Linked DNA regions of Tamandua tetradactyla. The protein of the gene in region 1 purifies or fractionates together with the protein of each later gene. This does not show direct contact. Links are inferred from orthologs where the notes say so. Each region holds a gene or a part of one and is shown on either strand. Other genes may lie near its edges.

The links.
Region 2: the proteins of UBXN7 (region 1) and NPLOC4 purify together in Homo sapiens (affinity purification with mass spectrometry; 3 studies listed by BioGRID and IntAct, with this or other methods). This does not show direct contact. The link is inferred for Tamandua tetradactyla from reciprocal best matches to the Homo sapiens genes UBXN7 and NPLOC4.
Region 3: the proteins of UBXN7 (region 1) and TOPORS purify together in Homo sapiens (affinity purification with mass spectrometry; 4 studies listed by BioGRID and IntAct, with this or other methods). This does not show direct contact. The link is inferred for Tamandua tetradactyla from reciprocal best matches to the Homo sapiens genes UBXN7 and TOPORS.

The regions. Positions count from the first base shown.
Region 1 is NC_135336.1:17,370,614-17,377,956, reverse strand, and holds the start of UBXN7 (UBX domain-containing protein 7), read right to left. Parts: upstream 3,020-7,343; 5' UTR 2,964-3,019; coding exon 2,891-2,963; intron 1-2,890. Other genes in the region: diphthamide biosynthesis protein 3, read right to left, coding at 5,907-6,155. UniProt on the Homo sapiens protein: Ubiquitin-binding adapter that links a subset of NEDD8-associated cullin ring ligases (CRLs) to the segregase VCP/p97, to regulate turnover of their ubiquitination substrates.
Region 2 is NC_135332.1:73,880,599-73,887,661, forward strand, and holds the start of NPLOC4 (nuclear protein localization protein 4 homolog), read right to left. Parts: upstream 3,008-7,063; 5' UTR 2,900-3,007; coding exon 2,885-2,899; intron 1-2,884. UniProt on the Homo sapiens protein: The ternary complex containing UFD1, VCP and NPLOC4 binds ubiquitinated proteins and is necessary for the export of misfolded proteins from the ER to the cytoplasm, where they are degraded by the proteasome.
Region 3 is NC_135328.1:63,333,502-63,341,134, reverse strand, and holds the start of TOPORS (E3 ubiquitin-protein ligase Topors), read right to left. Parts: upstream 3,008-7,633; 5' UTR 2,900-3,007; intron 2,866-2,899; exon of another isoform or gene 2,597-2,865; intron 1-2,596. Other genes in the region: SMIM27 (small integral membrane protein 27), read left to right, coding at 4,879-4,923, 5,266-5,388; NDUFB6 (NADH dehydrogenase [ubiquinone] 1 beta subcomplex subunit 6), read right to left, coding at 6,033-6,101. UniProt on the Homo sapiens protein: Functions as an E3 ubiquitin-protein ligase and as an E3 SUMO1-protein ligase. Probable tumor suppressor involved in cell growth, cell proliferation and apoptosis that regulates p53/TP53 stability through ubiquitin-dependent degradation.

The sequences.
Region 1 (7,343 bases):
CTTTGCCCACATTTGTGCATTTTGTATATATGGTTGGGTGTCAGCCCAAGTTTGTGTTAATGGGATACTGTCATGGTTAAAAAATATTTTTAAAACTGCTGCTTTGGAATTACCTTCAGATCCAGCAGCACATTCTTTCTTCATGCTTTGAGAACTGACATGACTTCTGAAAGAAGTCATTCAAAGTCATGTATTATGAATATCAAGAGATATCAAGTGGAATAATATCATAAAATAAATGACTATAAAGTAACAGGACTGATCTTACGTAGGTTTAAATGACTCTGAAGGCATCAATGGTAGAGGTAGACAGCTTTTCAATGTGATTCAGAGAACAACGTTTTGTTAACTACTCTATTAAAGACTAATCATGGAAAAAATGTTTTATGATGTAATACTAACTGAAAAAATTCAGAGTTCTAAATTATGTACAACAGGATCCAGAATGTAGACATAAGTATATGAAAAAGAATTGGAACATAATGTAAAATAAATAATACTGCTGTTGTGACAGTGGAGGTTTAGTTTTTGCCCCCTTTTTTCAAAATTATTTCATGTGTCATGATATCTTTTTAATAATTTTCTTAAATCAGATTCATTATTTCAAACTCAAGTATTATAGAAATTTGTTCTATTTAGTAAGAAATAAGACTTTACAAGAAATCTTAAAATTTTCTCTTCTATTTCTAAATGCCATATTGGTAGATTGATAGCATTTTTGAAGATGCAGTGCTTTTATCAAATTAATGAGCTTCCAAATATAAAAAAATCTTTCTGAAATCAGAGCATAAGTGCTTAAGATCAGTCTGATTCATACAGCAATGAAAAAAATACCTTTATATCATAAGCACAACAATTTCAAATATATACCAGGAGAGATAACACCAAAATGTATTTGTAAAATATGTGGAAAAAAGGCTGAATAGGTTCAATCCTGTGTTTCTAATGGTTAATCATTATCTTATAAAAAGAATCCCCAAAATTATTAATAGAAATTCACAACACATTAAGAACAATCTAAGATATTTTCCCTTTTGTAGATTTCCATATAACCACTGTCTACTGAGGGATGCCAATTTGATTTAAGAATAGAAAGGCCTATGACCAAGAAACAAGCAATGAAGACTGACAGAAACAGAAAAGCTAAACTCAGTCAAATCCATTTGGCACACTTTGATTTCTAACTCTAACAAAAATGTTGAATTAGAAGACAACGTGAGGTTAAGGCAATCTGAATTTCTGAAGGGGTTAACATAAACTGAAATTAAATAAGTGGGACTTTAAATTAAATCACTAGGCATTCTAAAGGAAAGATTAATAATGGATATTCACTTCTATATCTGATTCTCTACAAGGATTTTTCTATATAAACATATGCAGCAATGTTAACTTACATACACAATACTTTTCAAAGATTCCCCATAACAAAGATTTAGATACTGGGAAATGCATAACATTTTAATATATAGCAAAAGATTTTAAAAAAATTATGAAAAATATTATCCCATTCCCCACCTCAACGCCATTACAAATTTTACTTTACCAACTCTGACGTGGTGTTTCACGCCCACAAGCTAGATAATGCATCGAACATCTAGTTTTAACCACAGAGTAAAAAATAAAACTAGTTTTAATTATAAAACGGTAACTTCCACACAATCTGTAATGGTTAAGACAAAATTTTATCTAACCAGATATTGCATGATAAACTCTGAGGACGTTAAATATTCTCTGCATCTAACAAATGACCAGATTAAATATGTAACTACTAAAGGAAAGAACTAATATTCTAACCTCCTTCTAAAATAACAAACGAGAACGGCAAAACCACACTCAGGCACATGGACTACTCTTCTCTCAAATCACTCCACAGAGAACTTCATCATTTGCTCCGCCCTCTAATAACTCATGCAAAAAAAGTTCAGCACCATCAGAGAGAAACAAGACACAGGGAATTCACAGAATGGCACAGGGCCTTTTCTCCAGGCTGAAAGAAGATCTCGTGTGCCCTTCACAGGGGTCCAAAAAAACAGGAAATCCTGGGCCTTGGGTTTGGGGATACTGACACCCAGAAACAGGTTCCCTCTCCGAGAAGTTTCCGCCGCCATCCCTATTTTAGCAGCAGGAGGCCCCGGCGCCATCTACTCGGGTCTTTATGATTTTATTATGGGGAGGTGGGAAACGCCTCCCAGTATCCGTCCAGGCCTCCAGAATCCAGTTTGGAGAGAGGGGGATTCCCCCCTCACTCTTCTCTTAAAACCCCAGGCCCTAAGGTTACTCCTCAGCAGCCCTCTTTCTGGCGGCCTATCCCCGGGGATCTGGAAAGGCGCTGCCGAACCCACCAGCATCGCCGTTAAGGCGGGAGGGCCCGAACACACCAAGGCCATGGCGATGGCTCGGAGGGGCCCAGAAAGGGGAAGGGCAGGCCAGGGACGCGGGAGCGAATGACCCGGCCCGGGAAGAAAGGAGAAAGGAGGTGAGGTGATACACTCTATCCGAAGCCTGCACAGACAAGAGATGATGAAGGAGGAGGAGGGCGGTGGCCCGGGTGCGGCCCCCCACTCCTCCCGCCCCCAGGTCCCCGGGCCGGCGGGGGCGGATGAGTTCGGCCCATTCGCCTGGACTGGGCTGGCAATAGGTTAGAGGTCTCCCTCCACACTGCAAGGAAACCGAGAACAAGGGTACAGGGAACGAGAAGGGGGGTAAAAGGGGACGTCTGTCTCCCGCCTAACCCGGAGACCCCACCGACGTCGCCTCTTCCTCAAGAGGGAGGACAGTAGCTGTGAGTAAAACCCAAGGGAGGAATGCAGGAAGGTAGGGGAAAGCACGGGGCAGACGCGACGCCCACTCCGGACCCCACTCTCAACCTTCCGGTAACCGCGTCTCTTACCGGTGATGGCCGTGAACTGCTGAATTAACCCCTTCAGCGCCGAGGACGCCGCGGAGCCCCCGTGGGCAGCCATCTTACCGCCGCCGCCGCTGCCGCCGAACAACAACACAGACACACACGGGCCGCCCTCCCCCACTTCGCCGCGCCGTTTGCGCAGGCTCATTGACTGCCCCCATGCTCCGCCCCCCCAGTCCGCTGCGCGGTGTGCGCAGGCGCACCTCGCGGCCTGTCCCGGAGCGTTCTCCCTGCCCTCCGGGTTGGCTGTTCCGTTGCTGCCTGCTCGCCGAATCCTTCTTTACAACCTATGGCTCCCCCTTCTCCAAGCTCCAAGACCAACCTTGTAGATGCGGTATTGGTTCCTGGTTTCCAGAGGCAGCCTCGGTCTCGGCAGGTAGCAGGTTCCTCGCGTTTCAAGTTCACAAGCTTTATTGATAGATCCAGCTGCCGATGGCCGTGTATTTTTTCTTATTTTGCAGGTCCCATCAAAAGCCAAATGTCATTATCGGCATTGTAGCAACTTTCTTTCCGATTACCCAACCTCTGAATTTTAAATTGCTTAGTCAACTGGTGCAGCAATCCCATACAGCAGAAAGAAAATGCCAGAACCCTTTCAAGCCAAGAAAGCATGGGTAATAGAGGGGATTTATAGCGGGGTTTTAATAAACAATTTTTCAACCTGCTTTCTTTCAATAAATATGTCCACATATTTCCCTCCTCGGGATTCCAGTTAGTTTCCTTACTTTTAAAATGAGGGTTTGCTATTTTTAAACAAAGAATATTTGCTACTTTTATAATTTTAAGTATTCTTAAATACAGTTCTATGATTGGGACGCGCTCAAAGCTGATGATTTTCTCTCCTTGAAAATAAAGTTAAAGAGCCTCAGTTTAGGTCATCTGCAGATTTGACCCAACCTAAGAAATAGTCTGTTAATGTGCGACTGGGGAGAGTTGAGAAATAACCGAGTTAAATCAAGGTTAGTATAGGGTTGTAGTTTCAGAAGGATATGATTGGTGTAAAAGAAAGCAAATCCTAATCGAAAATATTGTGACCTGTGCAAAGAAAGGATGTGAGGCATGGTAGCAGGCACAAACCTGAGAATAAAACACCTGGAAATGCTGCCAACTCATTGCAAGCATTCTTTTAAGTTTGTAGCTGAACTCTCAGAAAAATAAGAGAAATCTGCAGGGGCCAAAAAATGAACAGGAAACTAAATCACCCAGCAATGAGTTTGAGATGATGTCAGGACTGAGGAGCCAAGAGAGGAGGTTGTAGGTCTGGTTAAGTGCCTTTAAAAGCCACTAAAAGTCAAGAGACAAGGCCTTGGACCTTCTTCACTAAGTGGCCTAAATGGGAACACCTTCTCCCCACCCTTTTTAAAACTGAGACCTTTGAAGAACTACTTGCTCAGTAAAAATGTAAAAGCGCAGAATACGAAAAATACACCTGTCCTGGGAAGGAACAATGAAACTTTTCTCTCAGCCCCTGAGCTCCTTGAGGTGGGATGTAGATGTAAATAAATAAAGGAATAGATAAATAATAAATCCCTCAGAATTCCTAACTGTGGACCTGCACTCGGGATTTAAGGTTCAGTTTTACAATTTGCAGAGTACAGGAACCAACCAAAGGAAAAAGTTAATATAAAATTCTCCAGAGCTGATAGAACCCCAGGGCAACTGGGAGAAGCAAGTATAAAATAGAAAATTTCTTATGAAATAATAGCAATTAGTCTGATACAAAATTTGGACCAGAACAGCAAAAACAATGGACTGTTAGCCTTAAAATGCTGAGGAACAAAAGTGTGAAACTAAGATTTTATGCACAGATAAATTATCATTTAGGGGTAAAGATAAAATGAAGAAAATATCAAACAACTGAGATTACTGAAAAACAGACCTACCCTAAAAGAATAAAGGACATACTTCTTTTTTTTTTTTAATTTTTATTAATAACAGCAACATACAAGCACATACATTCTTTTTTTTTTTGATTTATCTGACTTTATTTAGCATACCAATAGTTTATCATGGTAATAAATTAGTATGTACAGTTATCAAAAAATGTTGGGTGCTTTCCAAGGAGGTGTACACTGGAGGTGTATACTAAAGTCTTTTGTAGAACCATTTAAACAGCTGTCCTTCATAATTTTCCAATCCAAGTGCGGTAACATGAAATTTTTGAAAAGTAGTCTCTTTAGCTATAAATCATGATTTAGATAGTTTGAATTTATAAAGATTTCAGATGCCATTTCAGTACCTGCAGGCTACCAAATCTGACATTATAGAATTGACAATTCAGTAATCATTTGATCCTATCAACTAATTATACAGATAGGAATCCACTGGTATTGTCAAAGATTACAAAAGCTAGTAAGAAGCAGAGCCTAGCCTACAAATTGCTTCTTAGGAAGGTTCCAAAAATATCTGTTGGGCTAAATAAGGCACATATATCACATGGAACTCTAGTCATACATAAAAAGACCCTGGTTTTACTTTGTTTAACATTAGATTGAATTCTGATGGTCCTTTTGTAGTTCACAAATATATTTGGTGATTTAGTTCTGTGGAAACAAAATCTTTCGGACTATTGCAGTTCACCACCCATCACTGATTGCCTAGTGTCGTTTACGCTTCTTTTTTCCTGGGGTGTTTCAACTCTGGCAACTTTTCTTCCCATTATTCTGAGCTCATAATAGACCTACTTCAAGGGTGTCTGTTCTTGTTTGAAATTCAACATCAGCAGGAGTTAACATAATATCAACACCTTTTTAAAAATTTGGATGGAAACTTAAGAACACTTGCAATTCAAAGTTTTATACCTGAAATCCAGGTATGTCATGCTGTGGGTTGCTTCTTTAATTGAAGGTGAACGTAGCAGTTGATGAAAGAATCCACAATCTAACAGAACAACAAACCACAAAAAAAGGTTGTCCTTGTGAAGAGGTCTGTAACCTTGCATTTGATTTTTCCATCTTAGTTCATTCTCGGTAGTTCGAGATTTGAATTCTTATAGCCTTCTTTAGCACTTAACTAATTCTTTGTTGGTAGAAGGTGCTGGGATTGTTTCTCCACACATAAACTGATCTTTGTCATAAATCACTTTTATAATGAGAGAGCAGCTAGGGCACGTTGCCACGTCTTCCCCATTCTCCAAATCTTCCTTGGTGATGGCGAAGTTATCCCCACATGGGCAGGGGTAGAAATACGTCTCCAAGTCTTCGTCATACTGGAAGTCCTCGATCTCCACCTCGTCGTGAAACACGGCCATTGCCACTGAGGTCAGCAAGAGGGCTATCGCCCCCGCCGCCCGACACCACCTCCGTGGGTTTAACCTCGGTGGCGCCGGCCGGCAGCACATACATTCTTAACATACAAACATTCTATACATGGTGTACAATCAGTGGCTCACAATATCATCACATAGTTGTATATTCATCACTGTAATCATTTCTTAGAATGTTTGCATCGCTGCAGAAAAAGAAATAAAAAGAAAAAAGAAGAAACTTATACATACCATACCCCTTTCCCCTCCTTCTCACTGATCACTAGTATTTCCATCTATCCAATATATATTTTTTAATTTTACCATTTGGTCCCCCTATTGTTTATTTTTAATCTATATGTTTTACTCATCTGAGTGTAGAGGGAGGAGGGCTGGGGACATAAATAAAATCAGAAAGAAAGATAGATGTTAAAGATTGAGATGGTATAATCTAGGAATGCCTAGAGTGTATAATAATAGTGCCTAAATGTACAAATTTTAAAAATGTTTTTGCATGAGGAAGAATAAAGGAATGTCATTATTGCAGGGTGCTGAAAATAGATGGTAATTAATATTTTAAAATGTCACCTTATGTGTGAGACTAAAGCAAAAAAAATGTTTATTTGGTTCAAAATTTGTATTTTGACTAGTGCAATTCCTAATATAACTTATGTAGATAGTTTGATTGAACAGCATAAGTACTTGGAATCTCAGGTAAGACATGAGATTTTGTTGGTTTGTCCAGAGTGATGCCTGGATGAATCCCAGAGTTCTTCGATCAGTGAGTGGAAAAGTATTTGCAAAGTCCCCTTCGGGGAATGGGGAAAATGGGGAGAAATTCAATTCCCCCAAGTTGAATTCTTGATAGTCTCATAAGCAGTGCAGACAACCAAAGCTATAGGCTGAGCCCCCAGTCTTGGGGTTTGTTCATATGAAATTTAACCCCACAAAGGATAGGTCAAGTCTACTTAAAATTTAGGCCTAAGAGTCACCCCCAAGAGAGCCTTTTTTGTTGCTCAGATGTGGCCTCTCTCTCCAGCCAACACAACAAGCAAACTCACCACCCTCCCCCTATCTACATGGGACATGACTTCCAAGGGTGTGGATCTTCCTGGCAATGTGGGACAGAAATCCTGGAATGAGCTGAGACTCAGCATCAAGGGATTGAGAAAACCTCTAGAATGAGCTGAGACT
Region 2 (7,063 bases), on another chromosome or scaffold:
CTTAAAGATTTCACTGTTACCAAATCTATACACAGACATTAGCTTGACTTAAAAGAATCAAAAGAAATCTTCTAATTCATCATTTGCTTTTAATTTAAAAAATTAAAGAAATGAATGCCTTTAACATCACAGTAAAACTTAGCATGAGTTTTAAAAAATATTTTCATGGCAAGTCCGAAATGGTGCGAGGCCTGAAGACCATCGGACAGAGAGCTTGATTTTTATTGTAATGGAAGCCCTCCTGAAGAAGTGTCATTAGCACCCTGGCCAACTGTACAAGTCTCTACGTTTGTCAGGAAGCATGAAGCAGCACGCCCCGCTGCCAACACCCCGCTGCGCCAACTACCTCGAGGGATGCAGAGAGCAGACAGAGGAGTACATGCCAGAAGGTCCTCACCGTGCTATGTGTTCTCATTAATGCAGCAGCACTGAGATGCCAAATGTCACAAGGCCAGTGTCCAATATGTGACAAAATACCACAAAAGCTCAAGGTCTACTGAACTTTCCTCTGCTTTAGGATCCAACTAATTAAGAATAATCTAAATTTTCCTTTTAAAAAAAGCCTGGCCCTGTTTCTCAAATTTCTAACAAGCTTTACCTGACCTTAGTTACCTTACTGTTCTCAAAGTATTAGGGCTGTTTCGAATGGTCCCTATGACTATTCCAACTGTTAAAGGTATAACATCAAAAAAAAGGCCTAGGGCGGGCCACAGTGGCTCAGCAGGCAAGAAGGCAAGAATGCTTGCCTGCCATGCCAGAGGACCCGGGTTCGATTCCTGATGCCTGCCCATGTAAAAAAAAAAAAAAGGCCTAACATATTTTATATCTTTTTGTTTCTTAAACTATGTTTAATTTTTTCCCCTCTTCTGTGTGAAAGAGCAAGTACAAACTAGTTCTTCTGAATTAATTCTTTTGATTTCTGGTGCACTTCATTTTTGATTCATACCTAAGAAAGGTTCTCACAATGCATTAAGTGAATACTTCTGTACCTGTTTCAGAAATCTGTCTCCAGCACTAAGACACAAGAACAGAAGGACTCTGTTTTTCTGCAGGGGGTTCTGTGAAATGTCCTTTTGATCATTTAGGAACAAGAGTACGTCACTCAGCAATTTGAGGAGCTGAATGTCAGGCTTACATGATTCTGAGGAGTTCTACAAAGATATTAAGTCATTCTCATTGATTGTCTACAACAGGGCAGGGCAGTCTAGGTTTCTGAGACACACACAGTATTTAACAACAAAATCAAATGCAACCTGAACTGAGATAAGTACTAGCTTGTACTGTGACACAGGCTACACAATGAAATACACAAGACAAGGCAGACCTGGCAACATGGACACATAGCCTCTTAATAACTTAGGTTTTTGTATTTATAAGAAAATGGCCCAAGAATAATGGGGTGTTGAAGAACTGGTGAGATAAAATCAGTCATATGCACATATGTTTTAATAGATCTCTTTCTGGGTGGGCCACCGTGGCTCAGCAGGCAGAGTTCTCACCTGCCCTGCCGAAGACCCAGGTTCCTTTCCTGGTGCCTGCCCATGCCAAAAAAAAAAAAGATCTCTTTCTGAATTCAAAAAGCTTTTGGAAATCAATTTTAAAAGAAGGGTCTGTTTTAATTCCTCACAACCTAAGAAATTCTGTAAGGTACCAAGCTATGAGCAAAAGCCTAGCTGTATATATACTAGTGGGAAATGGGTCTTGTCTGAAACCACTTGCTTATGTTTCTTCAATTCAGTTTAAAATATTACAATAACAGAAAGTCTGAAAACAGATATGAGTGCTAATTCCTTATCTATTTCTAGAACTCCCCAGTGATTAGCAAATCTTATTTTTAAAGGAGTCAAATTTCTCTTGGGCCATTTGTTCCTTCTGCTCATCTCCAGGTGGGAAACAATGGGGAGGCTCCAGGGTCCCTCCAATGAGCTCGAGTTAAGAGAGGTAGGAATTAGAGAAAAGCCTTGCCCAAGGGCTGGAGCTTCCTGCAGAACCGAGACATCTGGACACAAGTAACCCACCATTCTGGACACAACACCTGGCAAAACTTCAGAGGCCATAAAGGTGCTAAAGCGTGCCCATAACTGGTCACCCGATACTGCTTTGATTCCCCTGAAAATCCCGAACATTTAACGCTAACCGAAATTCTTCTATCTGAACAGTCTGTTACTTTTCCTACCACATTTGCTTTTGAGGGAAAACTTTTCACAAGTTAACCAAGGACAGATGTTTCTGACTTTCACTGACTTTTTATTTTGGGGAGGGGGGGGAGGAGACAATTCCTCCTGTCTGGTCAACAGTGAAACCAAGGTTCTTCATAATATGCTTTTAAAACAGGCAGTTGTCAACTTTTCTTTACAACCGAGGGGCAAAAAACTAGTCAAGCCGCCGTATTTTCCTTTCGTGGGGAGGGAGTTCCGCAGCGCTCCGCTCGTACAACCTGCTCTCCTTCCAGTGACTCATGACAAGGCACTTACTGGGGTGGGGGTGGGGGCGCAGAGTGGAAGGAGATTAAGGGGGGAGTCGTAACCCGGCCTCTGAGGGGCCTTCAAATAAAGCCCACGAAGTCTGCCCGAGGCAGGGAGGCAGGCGAGGGGGGAAGACGGTTTCCCTTCAGCACAGCCGACGCTCCGTGCAGGAAGGCCCGGCCCGGGGTGCGGAACCCAAGTCGCGAATCTCCCGGCTGGGGTCGGAGAGGGACAGAAGCCGAGGGGGGTGAAAGCCGCCCCGGGGGAGAGCCCAGGCACCTCGGGGAGAGCCTTAACGCGAGGGAGGGGAAAGGGGCCGGGTCGCAGAGCCAGCCGGCGGGCCTCCGCCCCAGGCCGCGGCCGGCAAATCTGCTGCCTCATCCCGGCGCCCCGGCTCCCGCCCGGCCGCCACCACTCACGATGCTCTCGGCCATGGCAGCCGCTCCTCCCTCTGGGCTCGAGCCCCAGGCCGCAGCCGCAGCCTGCCGCCCCACGGGCCTCGCAGCCCCGGCCCCGGCCTCAGCCCCGGCCTCCCGCCGCCGCCGCCACCGTCGCTCCAGCTTCGCGGGCCCGGACTCCACCAGCCGCCGTGGGCGAGTGCCTCGCTCAATACGCTCCCCCCGGGCGCGCAGTCCCGCAAAGGAGGTTCCGGCCCCACCAATGGCTGCGCGCAGGCGCGGTGAGGCGCCGCCGCGCAGCCCCTGGAGCCCCGCCTCCTCACCCTGCCCGGCCACGCCCCGGAGTTCCCGCGCCCGGTGTGTGTCCGCGGGCCTCCACCGCGCGGATGATGGAGAAAACTGATGGAAGCGTGATTTTGGTTGTGGGTGTGTGAGTGGCTATGCTCATTATTATTATTATTTTTTAATCTTCGTTGCATTTTTGTTAAAATTTTTTTTTAAATATAACAACAAAAACATTCTTAACATATGATCATTCCGTTCTACATATATAATCAGTACCTCACAATGTCATCACATAGTTCCATATTCATCATCATGATCACTTCTTAGAACATTTGCATCAATTCAGAAAAAGAAATAAAAAGACAACAGAAAAAATTCATACATGCCATACCCCTTACCCCTCCCTTTCATTGATCACTAGCATTTCAATCTACTAAATTTATTTTAACTTTTGTTCACCCTATTATTCATCTTTATTCCATATGTTTTACTCGTCTGTTGACAAGGTAGATAAAAGGAGCATCAGACACGAGGTTTTCACAATCACACAGTCACATTGTGAAAGCTGTGTCATTACACAATCATCATCAAGAAACATGGCTACTGGAACACAGATCTACATTTTCAAGCAGTTCCCTCCAGCCTCTCTTTTACATCTTGAATAACAAGGTGATATCTGTTTAATGTGTAAGAATAACCTCCAGGATAACCTCTCAACTCTGTTTGGAATCTCTCAGCCAGTGACACTTTATTTTGTCTCATTTCTCTCTTCCCCCTTTTGGTGGAGAAGGTTTTCTCAATCCCTTGATGCTGAGTCTCATATGCTCATTATTAAAAAGACTCCTGGAATCTATAATTCCTGGAGGGTTCCTGGGTCAAATAAATCCTGAAACCTAGAGGGACCAGCCTCTCCAAACATTATCAATTGATTACATCCCCCTATCTTTAGTGTCGACGCCCCTTCTCAACATGAAAATGTCAGAAGGGACATTACCCTTCTCCGTACAGATTGGGGGGAGAATCAAAGGTGAAGCAGGAGGTATAACAGAGAAAATAGGATTTAACAAATGACTATGACTGCTGAATCACTGTATTAATATTCCTTCTAGTCTCCAGTGTTTTTTTTTATTCATCATCATGATCATTTTTTAGAACATCTGCATCAATTCAGAAAAAGCAATAAAAAGAAAACAGAAAAAAATTCATACTAAACCATGCCCCTTACCCCTCCCCTTCACCGATCACCAGCATTTCAGTCTACTAAATTTATTTTAACATTTGTTCCCCCATTATTTATTTATTTTTAATCAATATGTTTACTTGTCCCTCAAGGTAGACAAAAGGAGCATCAAACACAGGCTCTCACAACCACACAGTCACACTGGAGCACAGCTCCACATTTTCAGGCAGTTCCCTCCAGCTTCTCCATTACACCTTAACTAAACGGGTGATATCTCTTTAATGCTTAAGAATAACCTCCAGGATAACCTCTCGACTCTGTTTGGAATCTCTCAGCCATTGACACTTTATTTTGTCTCATTTCGCTCTTCCCCCTTTTGGTCGAGAAGGTTTTCTCAATCCCTTGATGCTGAGTCTCAGCTCATTCTAGGATTTCTGTCCCACGTTGCCAGGAAGGTCCACACCCCTGGGAGTCATGTCCCACGTAGATAGGGGGAGGGCAGTGAGTTTGCTTGCTGTGTCAGCCAAGAGAGAGAGGCCACATCTGAGCAACAGAAGACATTCTCCTGGGGGTGACTTTTTGACCTAATTTAAAGTAGGCTTAGCCTATCTTTTGCGGATTAAGTTTCATATGAACAAACCCCAAGATTGGAGGCTCGGCCTATTACTTTGGCTATCCCCACTGCCTGTGAGAATATCAAGAGTTCTCTACTTGGGGAAGTTGAATTTTCCCCCTTTCTCCCCATTACCCCAGGGGACTCTGCAAATACTTCCCTATTCACTGTTCAAATTCCTCTAGTCTCCAGTGTTTTGGAGCAGCTGGAAGGGAAAATCCGAGATGGTGGAATGGTAGCCCATGACAAACTCTGGGACATGTTCTGTAACTAGTTGTTGAAGTGTGCTTTGAAAATTATTACTTTTTTAATAAAAAAGTTTTTTTTTTTAAAAAGTGCAAAGAGGAAACAAAAGCAAGCATCCCAAATCTCAGCTGGAAATAAGGAGTTGGGCTACATTTGTGGAACAGTGTCCCAAACATCTCACTGTTCCCGCAGAAAGAGAGGAATCATTCAGAACAATGAGGGCACACCTTCAAGTTATTAAAAAAATATATATGTTTTAAGGTATCTTCCTGAATTTAACAGAAGACTAAATTGTATTTTAGATAAATGTATCTTCACGAGTTGTAATGTTTACATCCTGTTCTATGACCTCAGTTTAAGCTGTTACTTAACTTGGCTTATTCATTTCCAGCAACAAATATCTACTTGGGGTTTACTTTGTGCTTGACAAGATCCCATGATGTGGATAGAACAGAAATGAGATAGATTCCTGCCTTCACGGAACTGACCAGTGGGAGGCAGATTATAAACAGATCAGTGTGTAAACATGCGATGACAAGGAACCATCAGTCTTTGGCCATAAAATGGTCAAGAAAGACCCCTCTGAGGAGGTGATGTTTGAGCAGGGTCACACACAAATCAACGATGCAGATAGCTTGTGCTAGCTTGAAGCTTTATGTACCCCCAGAAAAGGCCATACTCTTTTCATCCACTCCTCTGGGTTCAGACCTGTTGTGGTTCGGACCTTTTGATTAGGTTGTTGCAATTGAGATGTGACCCTCCCCATTCAGGGTAGGTCTTAATCCATTTACTCAGGTCCTCTATGAGAGGATAAAGGACAGAAAAAGCTGAATGAGCACAGAGAGAAAAGCCCCAGAGAAGCCAAGAGAAGACCCAAGAAGCTCAGAGAGAGGCCACTGGAACCAGAAGCTGAAAGCAACAAAACCTGGGAGCAAAGGACCAGTAGACACTATCTGTTCCAGTTTGCAAGCTGCTGGAATGTGATATACCAGAACTGGAACGGCGTTCAAACAGGGCAATTTATTAAGTTGCAAGTTTAACATTCTAAGGCTGTGAAAATGTCCAAATGAAGGTAAGACTATAGCATGTCCAAATTAAGGCATCCAGGAAAAGACACTGTGACTCAAGAAGGCTGATGGCTCTATCATCTGGAAAGGCACAGGGTGATGTCTGCTGGCTTTCTCTCCCGACTTCTTGTTTCATGAAGCTCCCCTGGGGGCATTTTACTTCTCCATCTCCAAAGGTCTCTCGCTGCCTGGGCTCTTGTGGCTCCAATAAGCAACTCCATCTTGAATGGGTGGAGACACATCTCCATGGACACCAACTAATCAACAGTTACCACCCACAATTGGGGGGGAATATCTCCATGGGAACAATCAAAAAAAATTCCAGCAATATTGAACGAAAATTAAAGGGCCTGGCTTTTCTGGGGTGCATAATAGCTTCACACTGGCATGCTGTCTGACAGAGGAACCCCAGATGCTGACAGCCTGTCTTCAGAGAAGGTATCATCCTGTGGATATCTTTTTTTTTTTTAATTTTTAATTTTTTTAAAAATATAACAGCAAAGAACCACAAACATTCTTAACATATGATCATTTTTATTTATTTATTTGTTTTGCTTTTTGGCATGGGCAGGCTCCAGAAACTGAACCTGGGTCTCCAGCATGGCAGGCAAGAACTCTGCCACTGAGCCACCATTGCCCACCTCTTTTTGCTTCTCTTCTATCCAAACTTACTTGTTCTCTGTAAGGGCCAGGGTCGGCCTTCTTCATTTCATCTCCCATTGTAGTCAGGTCCGGGCACTGGCATATTGTCAAACACATTATTAGACATTGTTTTCCTTTTATTCCACTATACTACAAGAAGGATATTA
Region 3 (7,633 bases), on another chromosome or scaffold:
GCTGGACAGATTATCAGAAGACCTGGACTGAAGACTAGGCTTCACCTAAAACTAGTTCTGCAAACCAGGAAAATCTTCAATATGGACTTTAGTTTACTCCTCCATAAAATGAAGGGATTATTAGACTTAAATTTTAAAATCTCCTACCGAGTCATAGATTAGCAAATATCAGTTAAATTCAGTTGTAAATCAAAAACTGTATCCAGTTACAGCCATGAAAAAAGACTGGTGAATTTCAAATTATTACATTTCATCTTAACCTGGTTCTTTGGAATGTACAATTTTAGTGTTTAATGAACAGTTCTAGTTCACATAACAACGACAACCCAGGATGAATTTATTAAAGGAAATTTTTAGGCAGTAAAATCAAATTCAAATAAAACAAAATCAACTAAGTATATTTTAAAAATGTAATCTTAGTCTTCCCTTCCCTAGTCTCAAAGCCTTTTAGTCACCATGACAACATAAGCTAAAGAATCAGTAGGTAAAAAAAAGAACAAATAAATTAGAGTTCTGATTGTATTCTGTCAATAAAAAGAATTGACTGCTGATACACGCTACAACCTGGAAGAGCCTTTTCATTACGCTAAATGAAAAAAAAAGTCACAAAAGTCCATATATTGTAAACTCTCAGTTAAATCAAACGTTCAGAATAGGCAAATCTATAGACAGAAAGTTGCCTCAGGTGGAGGTAGGGATGATGAGGAGTTGGTAGAAGGTTTCTTTTTGGAACGATGAAAATGTTCTACAATTAAGATATGTGACATTGTACAACTCTGTAAATGTATTAAAAATTAGTGAATTACAGACTTTAAACTGTTGAGCTTTACAGAATGTAAATTTTTATCCTAATAAAGCTGCTAAAAAAACAAATTAATGCATAAAACAAGGATGGCTAGGAGACACATTAAGTTAGAGATTTGCAGGTGAGATTCTGGGATTAGGTAGCAAAAACAGACACGATGGTAGACACATTTAATACTTCAGGTTCCAAGCGCCTTTACTTTAGCACTCTAGGAATTTGGACTACAAATTAACTTTCTCATAGGCAAGAAGATAAATTAGTTCTCCTGATCCTGCTTCCTAAACTTTCTCCCAAATTGTAAAGTTTACCATCTTTAGGTTAAACGGAATAAATCAAACCCCATACCTAAATCTTCAAATCTATTGGCTTTAACAACGATAAGAAGCCTTCATGTCAAATTTGAGGGAATTTCAGATAATCAACAAGCATACCTATCTAGGAAAACAAGAGGGATAAAGAATCAGTAAGTTGGAGGCTAAAGGTCATATTAGATATTAAAAAATTGTACAGAGATAGCAACAAAGTAGAGCTGCTTGTAGAATTAGATTTTTTATAAAGACTGACTTCCTATAAGTCATATTCTACAGAATTCCTTAAATTATTATAAAAATTAACGACCTACTGATTACCTTTGGCAGAGTGGTATCAATCTAATGCAAAGCCAGGGTTGAGAAACACACCATTTACTAATTGCTGACCTTGGGGGAAGCTGTTTAATCTTTCAAAACCTCCTTAGATTTTCTCAATTCTAAAATGGGGTAAATACCAGTACCCATCTGAAAAGTTACTGTGTAAAAGGATACAGTCCATGTAAACAAGGGACAGTGTTTGGTACACAGAAAGAACTTAGCACTCTTCCCCTCTGTTATGTGAAAGTAATGATAGTGTCCATAATCTATATTTTGAATTCATTTTAATGACTGAATCAAGATGACAATCTCTAAATTATCTTCATATTTAATATAATTATAATACTATATATGGGCAAAGTAGTTAGGAAGGTCACAAGTGAATAAAATAGAAATACACACCCAGGCATAAAAAATACTCTGAGGGTGGGCCACAGTGGCTCAGTGGCAGAGTTCTCGCCTGCCATGCCAGAGACCCGGGTTCGCTTCCCAGTGCCTGCCCATGTAAAAAAAAAAAAAAAATCTGAGTACTATCTCTCATCACCTCAAGGAAATCACTGTAACTTTCTGAGCTACAGTTTAATCACCAATTCCAATTGATGATACAGAAGTTACAGGGTCTGCTGATAAGAACCTATCAAATTTAATTCCAATCCAGCAATTAAAAAAAAATAGTTGGGAACCATTCCCCTCTATAGCCATTCTTTCCAGATAAGCATGTTTGTTTGGGCTGACTATAGAGCCTTGCATTTCAATTAAAAAACTCACTATGTTTCAGCTTAATCTTGGGTAGCTGTTTCTTAATTTACCTTAAATAATCTTGAAAATTACCCACCAAAAACTTAATTCACTTTATTCCTATCTGGCTCATCTTGGCACTGTCCCCTTACAGCCTAGGAATCAGCAGCCCATGAGGAAAGCTTCCTGTTTACATGGATCAAAGAAGTCACTGGCAGGCAAGTCCAGCCCAGAATGCACAGAACACTGCACAGACAACTCAATCAGTCACGGTGGTCGCCGCTTCCTTTGGTTAAGAATTCCAAGGATCATGATCTAAGATAAACACTACATGTATTACATAACCACAAGGAACCTCAATACTGTGATTCCCATTTTACAGACAGGCTCAGAGAGGTGAGGGGACTTAGCCAAGGTCACATACCCTTTCAGGGGCGATGCCAAGATTCAGACTTCAGCGGTTATTTTTCCAGAGACCTGGCTTCTTCCAGTACGCAGTTAGGCTCGTGCCCCTAGAGAGCGCTTCCACAGAAACGCAATCCTCTCCCACCCACTGGGACAGATCCACAGGTGCGCGGCAGAGGCCTCCCGCCTGCAGGGACCCCTGCCCAGCCGAGGCCCGGGCAGCCTGAGGCCGAGATCGCCACCCCCAAGTCCCTGGGCCCCGCTCCAGCTCGCCCAGTCCTCCGACCCCCGAGCCCCATTGTTCCCGATCTCACTCACTCACCTCGGAGGATGCTGGCGCAGGCCCTGTTGGGGCGCTCGTGGCAAGCTCCCGACGGCCCAGAAAGCTGGGACGGTGACGGCAAGATCCGCGAAGGCGTACCCGACGACTTCTCCGCCTACCTTCAGGAAGCGGGGAGGGCAGGGGCGCTTCACCCTCCTCGCGAGACAGCGGAGACACTGGCGGCTGCTTCGACCCCTGTGACGTAAAGTGCTCATCACCAATGGCAGTTTGGGGGCGGTAGCAGCGAGCGAGACCCCACCCCCGAGCCTCTGGCGCGTCAAAACACCGCACCAGCCTTCTTAACGCCTGCGCGTTAGAAGGGCGCTGGCACTAAGGGCGGGGCTTAGCGTGCTGCGGCCGGATATGCGGCCCTCCCCCAGCCCTCCAATCCCTTAAGGGGAGCAAAGTAACCCTCCAAAACAGAAATTGCTACCACCGTCATCATTTTTGTTATTATTAATCACTGGGAATTGCCGGGGCCTTAAGTTAATGTTCGCTTCTAAGGCACCGGAAAACAATAACTAGACAATGTTTTAGCTTGGTCCCATTTAAACTTCATCAAACGCTTGCTGGAAGTTGCTAAAATTATCTCCATTGTATACATAGGGAGCTGTTAACAGCGGTGTGACTTCACCACCGGTTGCACCGCCCCAAAGAAACAACACCTGGATTCGAATGGGATCCAAAGCCGGAGCCCAATCAGTATCCTATGCAGCTTTCAGGGAGATTTACTCCAGTCTGGGGAGAAGTGGTCAAGACTTAACAGAACAGGATCTGAACTCTTCCCAAAACTAATTCCTTTTTTTTTTTTTCAGCTCTTCAGAATCACCAGTTTTTTTTTTATTAATTAAAAAAAATTAACTAACACAACATTTAGAAATCATTCCATTCTACATATGCAATCAGTAATTCTTAATATCATCACATAGATGTGTGATCATCATTTCTTAGTGCATTTGCATCAATTTAGGAAAAGAACTAGCAAAACAACAGAAAAAGATACAGCATGATAATATAGAGAAAAAAATAAAAATAATAAAAATAAAAAATAAAAATATATATAAAAAAGGAAAAAACAAAAAACACAAACAAACAAACAAAAACTACTAATTCCTTTTTTAAGCACTGCATTCCCCCTTCCTACTCCCCATTTGGATTAAGCCCTGTTAAGATAACATGTGTGATCTACAGAGAAAAAGCCTCTAAACCCAAAGCAGTCTATTGCAAGATTGTACAACTCAGACCTCAAATGTGAGCGTCCCAAACATTTTATAGTTGAACTTGGTACAAACGTCCACGTGCCAAACTGCCGTACTTAGGATTTAACATTTGAAGCGTATTCCCTTTCTAGTCACATATTGTTCAACTAACACTTGTTGAAAGATTGGTGCATTATACCACGTAACTCGTGCCACGTTTTTCTTAGAAATAACATTTCCATCAACAAGCAATTGCGTTCTCAAAGACCTTCATCACTGTTACATAAAATAGTAGCTTTACGTTAAAGCCGAATATACAAGCGTTTACATATATTAAGTGGGAACAGATGCGCGGGAAACGTTCATACTCGGGAGTTAGATGCCGATGCAACATTTAAAAGGAGGATTTTTTTTTTTCAGGTAAACTTTTAAACGTGCAAGACTGTACATTATCCTGCATTAATATCGGACTGCAGCTGGGAAGACACACTGAAGAGGTGTGCCTATTTACCTAGGCGACAAAAAGGCAATTTTTAATCTTTTCTCATTTATTTCATCCCTTTCCTGAAAGGCGGGCTAGGGCCCCCACCACGTGACTCCGCCCCCCGCTCCGGGCGGAAGAGGGCGGGCCGGCGGATAGGAAATGCTCCAGCAGGCCAGTGGGCGGGCGCCGGTGCCCCTCTGCGAGAGGCCGCTCGAGTCCCGCAGCCACCTCCCCGGAGGTCGATCTAGAGCCCGCAGCTACCGCCCGTTCCCGCTGCCCGCCGCCGCCTCCTTACCATGGAGCCAGTGAGTCGCCGCACTTTGGACTGGATTTACTCAATGGTAGGTCTCGGGCCTGGCGGGGCTCCACGGTGTCGACTCCCTGGGCCTGCGCGCGGTAGGCCCCCGATTTCTTCAACACCCAGAAACTCCAAAATCCCTTCCTGCATTAAGCCTTTCACTCTTTCACTTCGACTCCGCCTCTTCCTGGAGGACACGATCTTCCGCCTCTTACGTAAGGGCTGCGGAGGGTACGCGTCTCAGGAATCCCATTTGTTCGAGTTTTCACTATAACCCCCACCTTAGCCAAGCTACGCGGTAACCTGGTGGTGGGGGGAATGTGAGGAAAGGACACGCCCATTAATTTTTTTTTTTCGTTTCTCCCCTTTTGCATTTATCTTTTAGGTCCTCCTTGCGATTGTTTTACTCTCCTGGGGATCTGTCATTTATGCGTGTACTGTAGCTGCGCGACGACAACTAACGAAGGAATACCCAGACAGAATATTCGGGATGAATGAGGATTTTTAATTGCTTTAGACTTAATACAGTTCTTTACCTCATGCTTACCTGTCACCTGTTTGCATTTAAAAGCAAAATCCATAATATAAGCTTCCAAATTTATTTTGGCATAGTCTTTTATAATAACCACGATTTTTTTGACTTAGAATTGTCTTTTACATTCTCATCAAAATCAAAGCACTAGGTCTGATAACCTTTGAGTATCAGGTCATAGATGGAATGACATGAATTTTAATAAAGAGTTTCTAAAACACTTGGAAGTCGTAGAAACTCTCCTTTAAAACAAGTGTGTGGAGTTTATATTCTTATATTTGCTTATGGCAACATGTCTCTGTTGCATTCTCATACCAGACCGGACTAAGTCTCTAAGAAAAATTCTGTCTTTACTGAATACTTTTCTGCATCTTGTTTTCCAACTCAGAAATGGCCACAAAAAAGTAGATGATTACTCAGATCATTTTGCTTTGCATGTTCAGTTTTTATTTATCATTACATGACTCAAAGTGTCTCATACTATACAGTGTATGGAAAGAGATATGACAACACATCTCTGAGAGTAAACTTTTAATAAAATTTTTTCCAGAAAACAATTCAGTAAATATGGAACTGGAGGATAAAATTTAGCCTCACAGGGCCTTTGAAATTTTTAATCTTCAGTGATGTTGATTAGGAAATTCCTTCATTGGTGGAATAACTTCTCCAGTCTCCAGAATTGTATCGCCCTGGAAAAACAAAGATGCATTAGTAGAAAAATCTCAAGTCATCACCCAGCAAGGGTGAAGGCTCCACACGGTCTAACTTAGACCTCCCATGGGAAATCCAGTTCAGCTTCACACTTTAAGAGGACTAAAAGCTGTATAATTGAATAGCCAGCATTCAAAATCTTAAGGTACAAATGAAATAATGGGGAAAGTTGCATTCAGAAACAAAACATGGGCATGAATGTTGTCTTCATCAGGTGAAAAGGGTATAATCCTCATTTTGCATGGCCCCCTAAAATAGGAGAAGCCCTAGAAAGAAGTTGCTTGAAAACATTACCAGTTCAAAATAAGAAGGTAATGTATTCCCAGCAGCTGAACATGTTTGGCTTAGATATTAGAGACAGAATGCAATACATTGGCTGCAGCTGGTGCAGGTGTCTTTTCAAACCTGGAGGCGTGTTACCCCAAAATTCATGTCCACCTGGAACCTCAAAGTATGACCTTATGTGGAAATTGAGAGTCTTTGCAGATGTAATTAGTTAAGGATTTCAAGATGAAATCATTCTGGATTTAGGGTTGGCATTCAGTTCAACAATGGGTGACCTTATAAGAGGATAGACATGTAAGGATCACATGAAAACAGGCAGAGGTTGGAGTTATGCTGCCAAAGGTGAACCTAAGGAACACCTGGGCCATCAGAAGCAGGAAGAAGCATGGAAGGGTCTTTTCCTAGAGCCTTCACACGGCACATGACCCTGTTGACACCCTGATTTTGGACTTGCAGAACGGTGAAAAAATAAATTGCTAGTGTTTTAAGCCATCCAGTTTGTGGTACTTTGTTAAGGCAGCCCTAGAAAACAAATATAGTGAGCAACCAACAAATAGTAGCTATTAATATAACTGTATACCTCACTAGACTGGTTCTAAATATTTTATCATGATCATACTCTAGTTATTAAAAAGATAAAGTCACAAAATGTCAGGTCATATAAACTTTATAATGTCAAGAGAGAAAAATAGGAGAAAAAAACAAACCTTGATCCACAGGTATACCAACTGCTTTTAGCAACCTGGGCCATTTTACTCCCTATTGAGAGAGACCTGGAATAGGAAGGCTGAGGAAAGTTTTCCAACAGGACTGTTCTTAGCAAACCTATTTATACGTAATTAGATATCTATTTAACTTCAGATAAAAGACATACTTCACCCTAGATACATAGGTGGCTCAATGCTATATTTTTCAAGGAACCTTAATAAAACCCTAGAATTGTAAATTTTTATTTTTAACCATTTGCATTATGTAGTCTGTGGGTTCTTAAAACTGTGTACCAAAATGTGGCAGAAGAAAGCATTTCTGGCTGAGGTACATATGATTGTGAGGAAATGGTGTTTTAGCATGGTGGTTGGAGAGAGGGGTTCTGGCATCACTTTATCCCTGTGTAACCTTAGGCAAGCTACTCAACTGCTCCATACCTCAGCTTCCTCATCTGAAATGGCTACTATGACATCAGGGTTGTTGTAAAGAGTAAATAAATAATGCATGCAAAATACCT